Sus scrofa: one gene and its partner. The protein of the gene in region 1 purifies or fractionates together with the protein of each later gene. This does not show direct contact. Links are inferred from orthologs where the notes say so. Each region holds a gene or a part of one and is shown in the gene's direction. Other genes may lie near its edges.

The links. Proteins that work in one complex are often made in the same cells at the same time.
Region 2: the proteins of PPP1R7 (region 1) and SH2 domain-containing protein 4A-like purify together in Homo sapiens (affinity purification with mass spectrometry; 3 studies listed by BioGRID and IntAct, counting the BioPlex papers as one, with this or other methods). This does not show direct contact. The link is inferred for Sus scrofa from reciprocal best matches to the Homo sapiens genes PPP1R7 and SH2D4A.

What each region holds. Positions count from the first base shown.
Region 1 is NC_010457.5:139,924,434-139,928,081, forward strand, and holds part of PPP1R7 (protein phosphatase 1 regulatory subunit 7), read left to right. Parts: coding exon 1-47; intron 48-670; coding exon 671-736; intron 737-1,251; coding exon 1,252-1,382; intron 1,383-1,691; coding exon 1,692-1,854; intron 1,855-2,842; coding exon 2,843-2,959; intron 2,960-3,648. UniProt on the Homo sapiens protein: Regulatory subunit of protein phosphatase 1.
Region 2 is NW_018084867.1:63,561-67,208, reverse strand, and holds part of SH2 domain-containing protein 4A-like, read left to right. Parts: intron 1-1,805; 5' UTR 1,806-1,999; coding exon 2,000-2,180; intron 2,181-3,648. UniProt on the Homo sapiens protein: Inhibits estrogen-induced cell proliferation by competing with PLCG for binding to ESR1, blocking the effect of estrogen on PLCG and repressing estrogen-induced proliferation. May play a role in T-cell development and function.

The sequences.
Region 1 (3,648 bases):
AGCCGCCTGTGGATATGGAAACCATTAACCTGGACCGAGACGCAGAGGTAATGCTACCCGCTCAGCCCAGCCTCCGGGCATGGTGACAGCCCTCTGACCGTCAGGGTGTCTTTCGCAAAGGTGCCAGATTAGTAAGTGAGGTCCCTAGAAGCCCTCTGAGCCTCCCCCGGTGGCGTCAGCTTCCCTGGGTTCTTACTGGTGTGACCTCCAGTGGTCGACCTCACCTTTCCATTTAACCCTCGAGGGCCGGGGAGCAGTTGAAGCACCTGTGACTCATGGGTGTCCGATGACGACACTGTTCCTGGCGGGGTCCTGCATCCCCAGCATCGGAAGAGCACAGGGCATGGACTGTCCGGGGGCGGGGCGGGGGGAGCCAGCCTGCCTCCCCAGCCCGCAGCCGCCACCAGTGGTGACATGATGGGCGGCGTCTCCTCAGAGCCCGGGCAGGGAGGCAGCTCACCTCCCCTGGCGTGGAGGGCCGGTTCCCACGAGGCCACTGTGGCGCATAGCGAAGCCCAAGAGCATCTTGCAGCCCCTCCCGTGTCCCTGTCACCGGCCACCGCAGACCCCGTATGGCACTGGCTCTCGAGTCCTGCCCCAGCCCCCCTGTGGCTCCTGCTCCAGGAAGCACATCCTGCTGGCCGCCAAGCTCGGGTTTTCTTTGTTCCAGGATGTGGATTTGAATCACTACCGCATTGGGAAGATCGAAGGCTTTGAGGTGCTGCGGAAAGTGAAGGTGAGAGGAGCCCCTCCTTCCCCAGGAGGCGATCCTGTGACGCCCCAAAGTACGGCCCCCGAAGGCCCCGCGGAAACCAGGACAGAACTGGTTCTGCGCAAGCAACCGTCCTCGTGAAGGTGCCAGGCTGCCCCAGGCACTGCCAGCGGGCACCCCGTGTCCTGAGCGTGGCAGGGTTTCTGGAACAGTCCGGGAGGCGGGGACTCAGACCTGCTGCCGCCGCCTGCTGTGCCTCAGGTCGGGGCCTGCCTGCTGCTGAGCACACACACCAGGCGCTGGTCCTTAACGCTCTTGCACTCAATCTGTGTTTCAAAACTCGGCGCCCGGAGGCTTCTCTGCTGGGAAACCGCAGCGCCTCCCCACCGAGTGGGGCTGCCTCCGAGCACGGGCGGCGTCTGCCCGTCCTCTCCGAGAGCAGCACCTTTCCCGCCAAACGGGAAGGAAAGGCGGGCCCCCTGGCCTGGTCTCCGGGCCTCCCTGTTGCTTATGTCACCTGTCCCTTTCTGTCCCGCCAGACTCTCTGTCTTCGTCAGAATTTAATTAAATGCATTGAGAACCTGGAGGCGCTGCAGAGCCTTCGCGAGCTGGACCTTTACGACAACCAGATCCGGAAGATCGAGAACCTGGAGGCGCTGACGGAGCTGGAGTGAGTCAGGGGCCCAGGGCCCTGCGGGGGGTGGTCCGCATACCCTGCGCCCCCCTCAGCCTCGGGGGCCTGCCTGGCCCTCCGCTCCCTGGATGCGTCGGCTCTCCACTGCCTCAGCTTGAGTCGAGGCTTCCGGCTGGGATGACATGGTTTTTCCCTCAGCACTGTCCTGTGAGCCCGGGCAGCAGGCATCGGGGTCCCTGGAGGCCCCCCGGCTCCCCCTGCCTTCCTGGGCCGCCACGAGAGTCTGTTGGTTACCACCTGAGTCCGGGGCCTGTGCCCACTGCGAAACCTTTTGCCTGTTCCCAGGATTCTTGATATTTCCTTCAATCTGCTGAGAAGCATCGAAGGGGTCGACAAGTTGACGCGGTTGAAGAAACTCTTCCTGGTGAACAACAAGATAAATAAAATTGAGAACCTAAGCAGCCTACGTCAACTGCAGATGCTGGAGCTGGGATCCAACCGCATCCGGGTAGGTGCAGCGCCCTGGCGGCCGGTCCCTTCGCGAGGGCGGCCCTGCCTGGGCAGGGTGGGTGCGGGGTGCGCTTGGCTGGGTTTTTCACGAGAAGAAGCGCCGCCCAGAGGTCAGTGTTGATAAGAAAGCGGCCGGTGCAGGGTCCAGCCTTTCCTCTGCACGTGGACTTCACTCGCCCTCCACCCGCCTCGGGACAGAGCTCGCAGCAAAGCGCCCAGCCGCGCTCCGCCCAAGGCCCGTGCTCTGCTTCTGCGTGCGCCGCGCCTGGTTTTCTGCTGAGCCTCTGAGAGCCGAGTGCCAAGCACAGCCGGGGTGGCGGCCGTGACCCTGCCCCACGCCAGGGCCGCAGGATGGAGCCGGCTGCTCGCACACGGTGGCCGTCCTACTCGGACCCCTGTGCGCCCTGGGTCAGGCCCCGGGGCAGCCCTAGCTGATGCCCCAGCGTCTAGATCGGGCTCTGCCTGCCCTCTGAGGGGGACACTGGACAGAGTGGGGCTGCCAGGCCTGGGCAGACGGTCCGGGACATAGAAGCAGATGGAGTGGTCTGCCCGCTGATTCGGAGCCGCTGGGATGGGCCTGGGGGGGCGTCCTGGGGGCTCACAGGACTGTCGGCCCTGCGTCTGCCAGCTCCACCGGGAGGGGGCCTCTGCCTCTGCCGGCAGAAGGGAGCCCGTTTCAGGGAGCCCCGCGTAGAGGAACGAAACACGTGTCAGCTCAGAGTTGTAGAACCGGGGGGCGTGGGCGGCCCGCCGACTGTCCCCCGGAACCTGAGCTCTGTGAGGGAGCCCAAGGGGGAGGGCGCCCCCCGCCCCGGGCCTCTCTCCCTCACGCTGTCCCTTCACGCCAGGTGACCCTGGGCACCTTCCGCGGCCGGGGTGGGGCGTGCCTCGCCGACACCCAGGGCTGGGGTCCAGGGAGCGCTGTCCCCTCGCCCAGGGCCCTTCCTTCTCTGGTGCCTCACTGTGCCCCGTCCTGACTTTCACAGGCAATTGAAAATGTCGACACGTTAACTAACCTGGAGAGTCTGTTTTTGGGGAAAAACAAGATCACAAAACTTCAGAACCTCGACGCGCTCACCAACCTGACGGTGCTCAGCATGCAGGTAGGGCCCCCCCTTCCCCCCCGCTGGGCCTGCCGCACAGCCAGGCCCACATCCTTCCCCGGCTCCGTCTCGGAGAGCAGCACCCGCGCTGTCGGCGAGCAGTTCACAGCTGTAGTCGCACATGACACCCGCTGAACTAAAATTCCCTTCTCGAAGCGTCACCTTTTCCTAATAAAGGCCCTAGGCGGTTTTTAGCCAAGGGCGCCCTCAGAAGGTTGAGCTGCAGTTCCAGAGCCTTCGAAAGTGTTGGGCTCCACAGTGGAAGTGAGCCCCCCACGTCTGTGCAGAGGTTGTGCAGCCCGCGTTCGGGGTGGGCAGGCATCTGGAGGTGCAAACAGGTGGCACCAGACCTTGAGGCGGGTACGATGGGTGTTCTGGGGACAGGGCCCCGCCACATGGGCCCCACACACCACACGTGCCTGGGGTTCTGAAGACTCTCCCCGCCTTGGCTGCACCCACGGCAGGCCACAGTTCCCAGGCCAGGGATCGAACCCGCGCCACAGCAGTGACCCAAACCACTGCAGTGACAAGGTCGGATCCTTAACCTGCTGAGCCGTAAGAGAACTCCCCACAGACTTCTTTCAGGAGAGGCCACTGTGTGTTAATGTGGGCTCTAACGGGAATTTATTTTTAGAAAGTCTGCGATTTTGACTTTTTGAATGACTAAATTAAAGGAGGAAGACCTTCCC
Region 2 (3,648 bases), on another chromosome or scaffold:
CATTCTTCCTGCAGCTCTGTCATCTACAGACCAGGGCTCGGCCTCTGGAAACCTCTCCGTAGTGTGGATTTAGTTGATCCCACCCCTGGAGAAGGTGTGAGACCCCAAAGTCAAGAAGCCACCACAGGACATCAGCTCTGGCTGTGATAGCCTTTGTGGGTCACCTCAAAGCAAAACACAAAGCTAGCAAGATAGCTTGGGAGGGATGGCCATACCTGACTGAGTTAAAGTCAGACAGCACCTTTCATCCTTTAAATTTTCTCTTAATATTGTGTTCTGTTTGAGATCCAGTATTCGAATGCTGCCTCCAATAGGATGCAGTTAGCAGGAATCCTAGTAGCCTCAGCTAAGGTCCCTGCTACACAATGACTGGTTAGTGAATCTAACCACAGGCTGTGTATGCACACCACTCTGGGTACTTTGGCTGGTGATTACACTTGTCTCAAAAGAGTTGTGTAAGTGGAGAAACAGCTTTGCAAGGGGGACAGGGAGGAAAGGAAGGGGGAAAGGAGGAGGGAGAGAAGGGGCAGGGGAGGGAAAAGGGGGAGGGGGAGGGTAGGAAAAGAGGAGGAGGCAGGGGGAGGAGGAGAGGAAGCTGCAGGGAACTCCCAGGGGGTGGGAGGAGCACCCCAGTCTGGCTGGGGAATAACCAGTTGATGGAACTGGGAGGAGTCATGGTGTGGCTAAGTGACTGGTCTGAAGTTTAAGAGCCTTTGGACTTAGTTTGGAGAAACAAGATATTTGAGAAGGCGTGGTGAGATTATGGAGGCATTGTATGCAAAAAAAGATTAGTCAATTTCTTATACCATAGGCGATCCTGAAAAGTTGCAAGAAGTAAATTTTTTTGTGTGTATCCCATTGTATTGAAACAAAATAAGGGTCTTTTTTTTCCCCAGAATGGAAATCTATGCATTATTTCCTTCTGATGACAAAAATATGAAGGTTTGCTTTTTTTTAATAGACCAAATAGAAATGTATAAAGTAGAATGAAATTGCAGTGGAGTTGACACCCCTGTGTGTTCAGGTCCAAGGCGCCACCCTTTGAGAAACTCACTGTAGAGCTAGGACCCTTTGTGAGGAACCCAGTCACCTTGTCACTCCCCCAGTTTATCTGGTCTGTAGATTTAAATCTGGCTAAATTAGGTTATCAAGAAGAGGTACACCTAAAACCTGGTGACCTTCCAGAATGTACATGAATGTTCTCTCCTGCACCTGGTCTGTTCTCTTGATTCTAGCGAGTTGTCTGAATGTTGCATTGTCCTTTTGTGAAGATGAACGTACATAATGGTGTTTGTTTAGTGCTACTTTTAAAAGACAATGAGAAATTGCATTGTGGTCTAATTTTTATTCTTTTTCCTTTCTCAAGCCTAGCTCTGGCTTGGTTTGGGTTTGGGTGGGTCATTCTCCAAAATCTCAAAAATGGCATTTTCTTTTTAAATAAGTTGTTGGGAGAGAGCCTTTTAATTTCTTCCTGTGCCTTTGTCTCTTTAACTCTGTTCTTAGCCATGAACTTGGTGGTTTGTTGGGCTCTGAGGTAATAGTATGTTTGCTCAGTTGGGAGAAGGCCAAACGTCTGTTAATTTTTTTGTTTCCCTGAGACTGACCTGTAAAAAGTTATGATTTTTTTTTTGATAAAGTATCTTTGGAAATTACAAGATACAGGTTATACAAACAAAGCCTGCCTAAGCCTTCTCCTGAAATGAAAAGCAATACTGTATTTCCTCCAGGCTTTATTCCCAAGCCTGTCCTTGACCTGCATCTCTACCTTTTAACACTACCTGCATTTTGGCTATCTCTCTTTGCAGGTTCATGCACGGCATTTTGGACAGGATGCTTGGTGCCACGAACCCAGAGCCAGTTTGCTGAATTACTGTCCAGGCCCCTTGAGTCTCTGGGAAGGTCTGCAGGTGCCTCCAAGTGCCAGCTCAGGTCGAGTCAGCCCAGGAAGCTGTTTTCAAGGGCTTCTGCCACGGGTGTAAAAGACTCCAGCCCTGCAAAGATGCTGAAACAGATACTGTCCAAGATGTACATAGACCCTGATCTGCTGGCAGAGCTCAGCGAAGAACAGAAACAGATCCTGTTCTTCAAGATGAGGGAGGAGCAGGTCCGCCGATGGAAAGAAAGAGAAGAAGCAATGGAAAAAAAGGAGTCCTTGCCAGTGCAACCCAGGCCAAAGAAAGGTAAGCGGAGCTTGCCTCTCCTGTGAGCTGGCAAGTAGAATGTCCCCTTGCTTGTTTCCTCATTTCACACCAGCCAGAAGCAAGCCAGGCTCGAGGCCTAGTCTGGCAGGTGGACCCTGGGTGATACTGAGATTCTAATAGTGCAGTTTATCAACTTGAAGTCTCTCTCTCTCTCTCTCTCTCTCTCTCTCTCTCTCTCTCTCTCTCTCTCTCTCTCTCTCACACACACACACACACACACACAAACATGCCCAGACCACAATTACTGTGGAGTTCTGAGGCCAAAAGCAGATCTCTTATTTGAAACCAGACTGACCTTAAGCTGCGGGAAAAAGTCACCCAGGGAGGTGGACTTGAGAATGAAGGAAGGTTTCTATTCCCTTTTGGTCACAGACCAAAAGGATTTTGCTACCAGCCTAGAAGTCCTGTGTCAGCCTCTCAATGGTGTCTGCATGTCCTAGACTTTAAGAGATTTTTCTTTGAGTTATCTTTTCGAGGAGGCAGTTCCCTTTTAAAATGCAGATACTGCTAAGAGGAAAAAAGTTGTAATACGAATCTTATTTAGTGTGAGTTAATTTTTCAGATGTAGTTCTTCTTCCTGACCCAAGGAGTCCCAGGTAGTTTGAGAGGGCCTTTGGGGACCATCAGGAGGAATTCCTTGTACGTTAGGTTTAAAGCATATACACACACAGACATGGAATAGCACACATTGCACACACACACGCACACACACACACCCTGCCACCACACACACATTCTGTTATGGATGAATGCCTGTGTCGTTTATTTTATTTTTATTTTTATTTATTTTTATTTTTATTTATTTATTTATTTTTGTCTTTTTGCCTTTTCTAGGGCTGCTCCCGCGGCATATGGAGGTTCCCAGACTAGGGGTCTAATCAGAGCTGTAGATTATGCCAGAGCCACAGCAAGGTGGGATCTGAGCTGCATCTGTGACTTACACCACAGCTCACAGCAACACTGGATCCTTAACCCACTGAGCAAGACCAGGGATCCGACCCGCAACCTCATGGTTCCTAGTAGGATTCGTTAACCACTGTGCCATGATGGGAACTCTGTGTTGTTTATTTTTAAAAAAAGTTTTCAAGGTCACTTACAGAGAGGCATTCAGATCAATTTCTCTTCATTTTTCAGGAAGCCAGGAAAAACCGAATTTGATAAAACCGTTTGGGGTTTCAGAGAGTGTGAAAATGAATCCCACTTGTGTGCTGGTACCTACACAGACACAAAAAGGAAGTCCATTTAGTGACCTTTACCTTCTACTGCCTTTTTATTAGAACCTTTTTTTTTTCAATCAAACTTTATAGTGATATGGAAACAAATACAAATACCTCATTTATTATTATTATCAATATCAGCTATTTTTAAATACCTGTTTTGCAAAGCACTTTGACATGCATTATGTCATCTTTGCAACATTTCTGCAGAGTTGGTATTAATTGTCCTA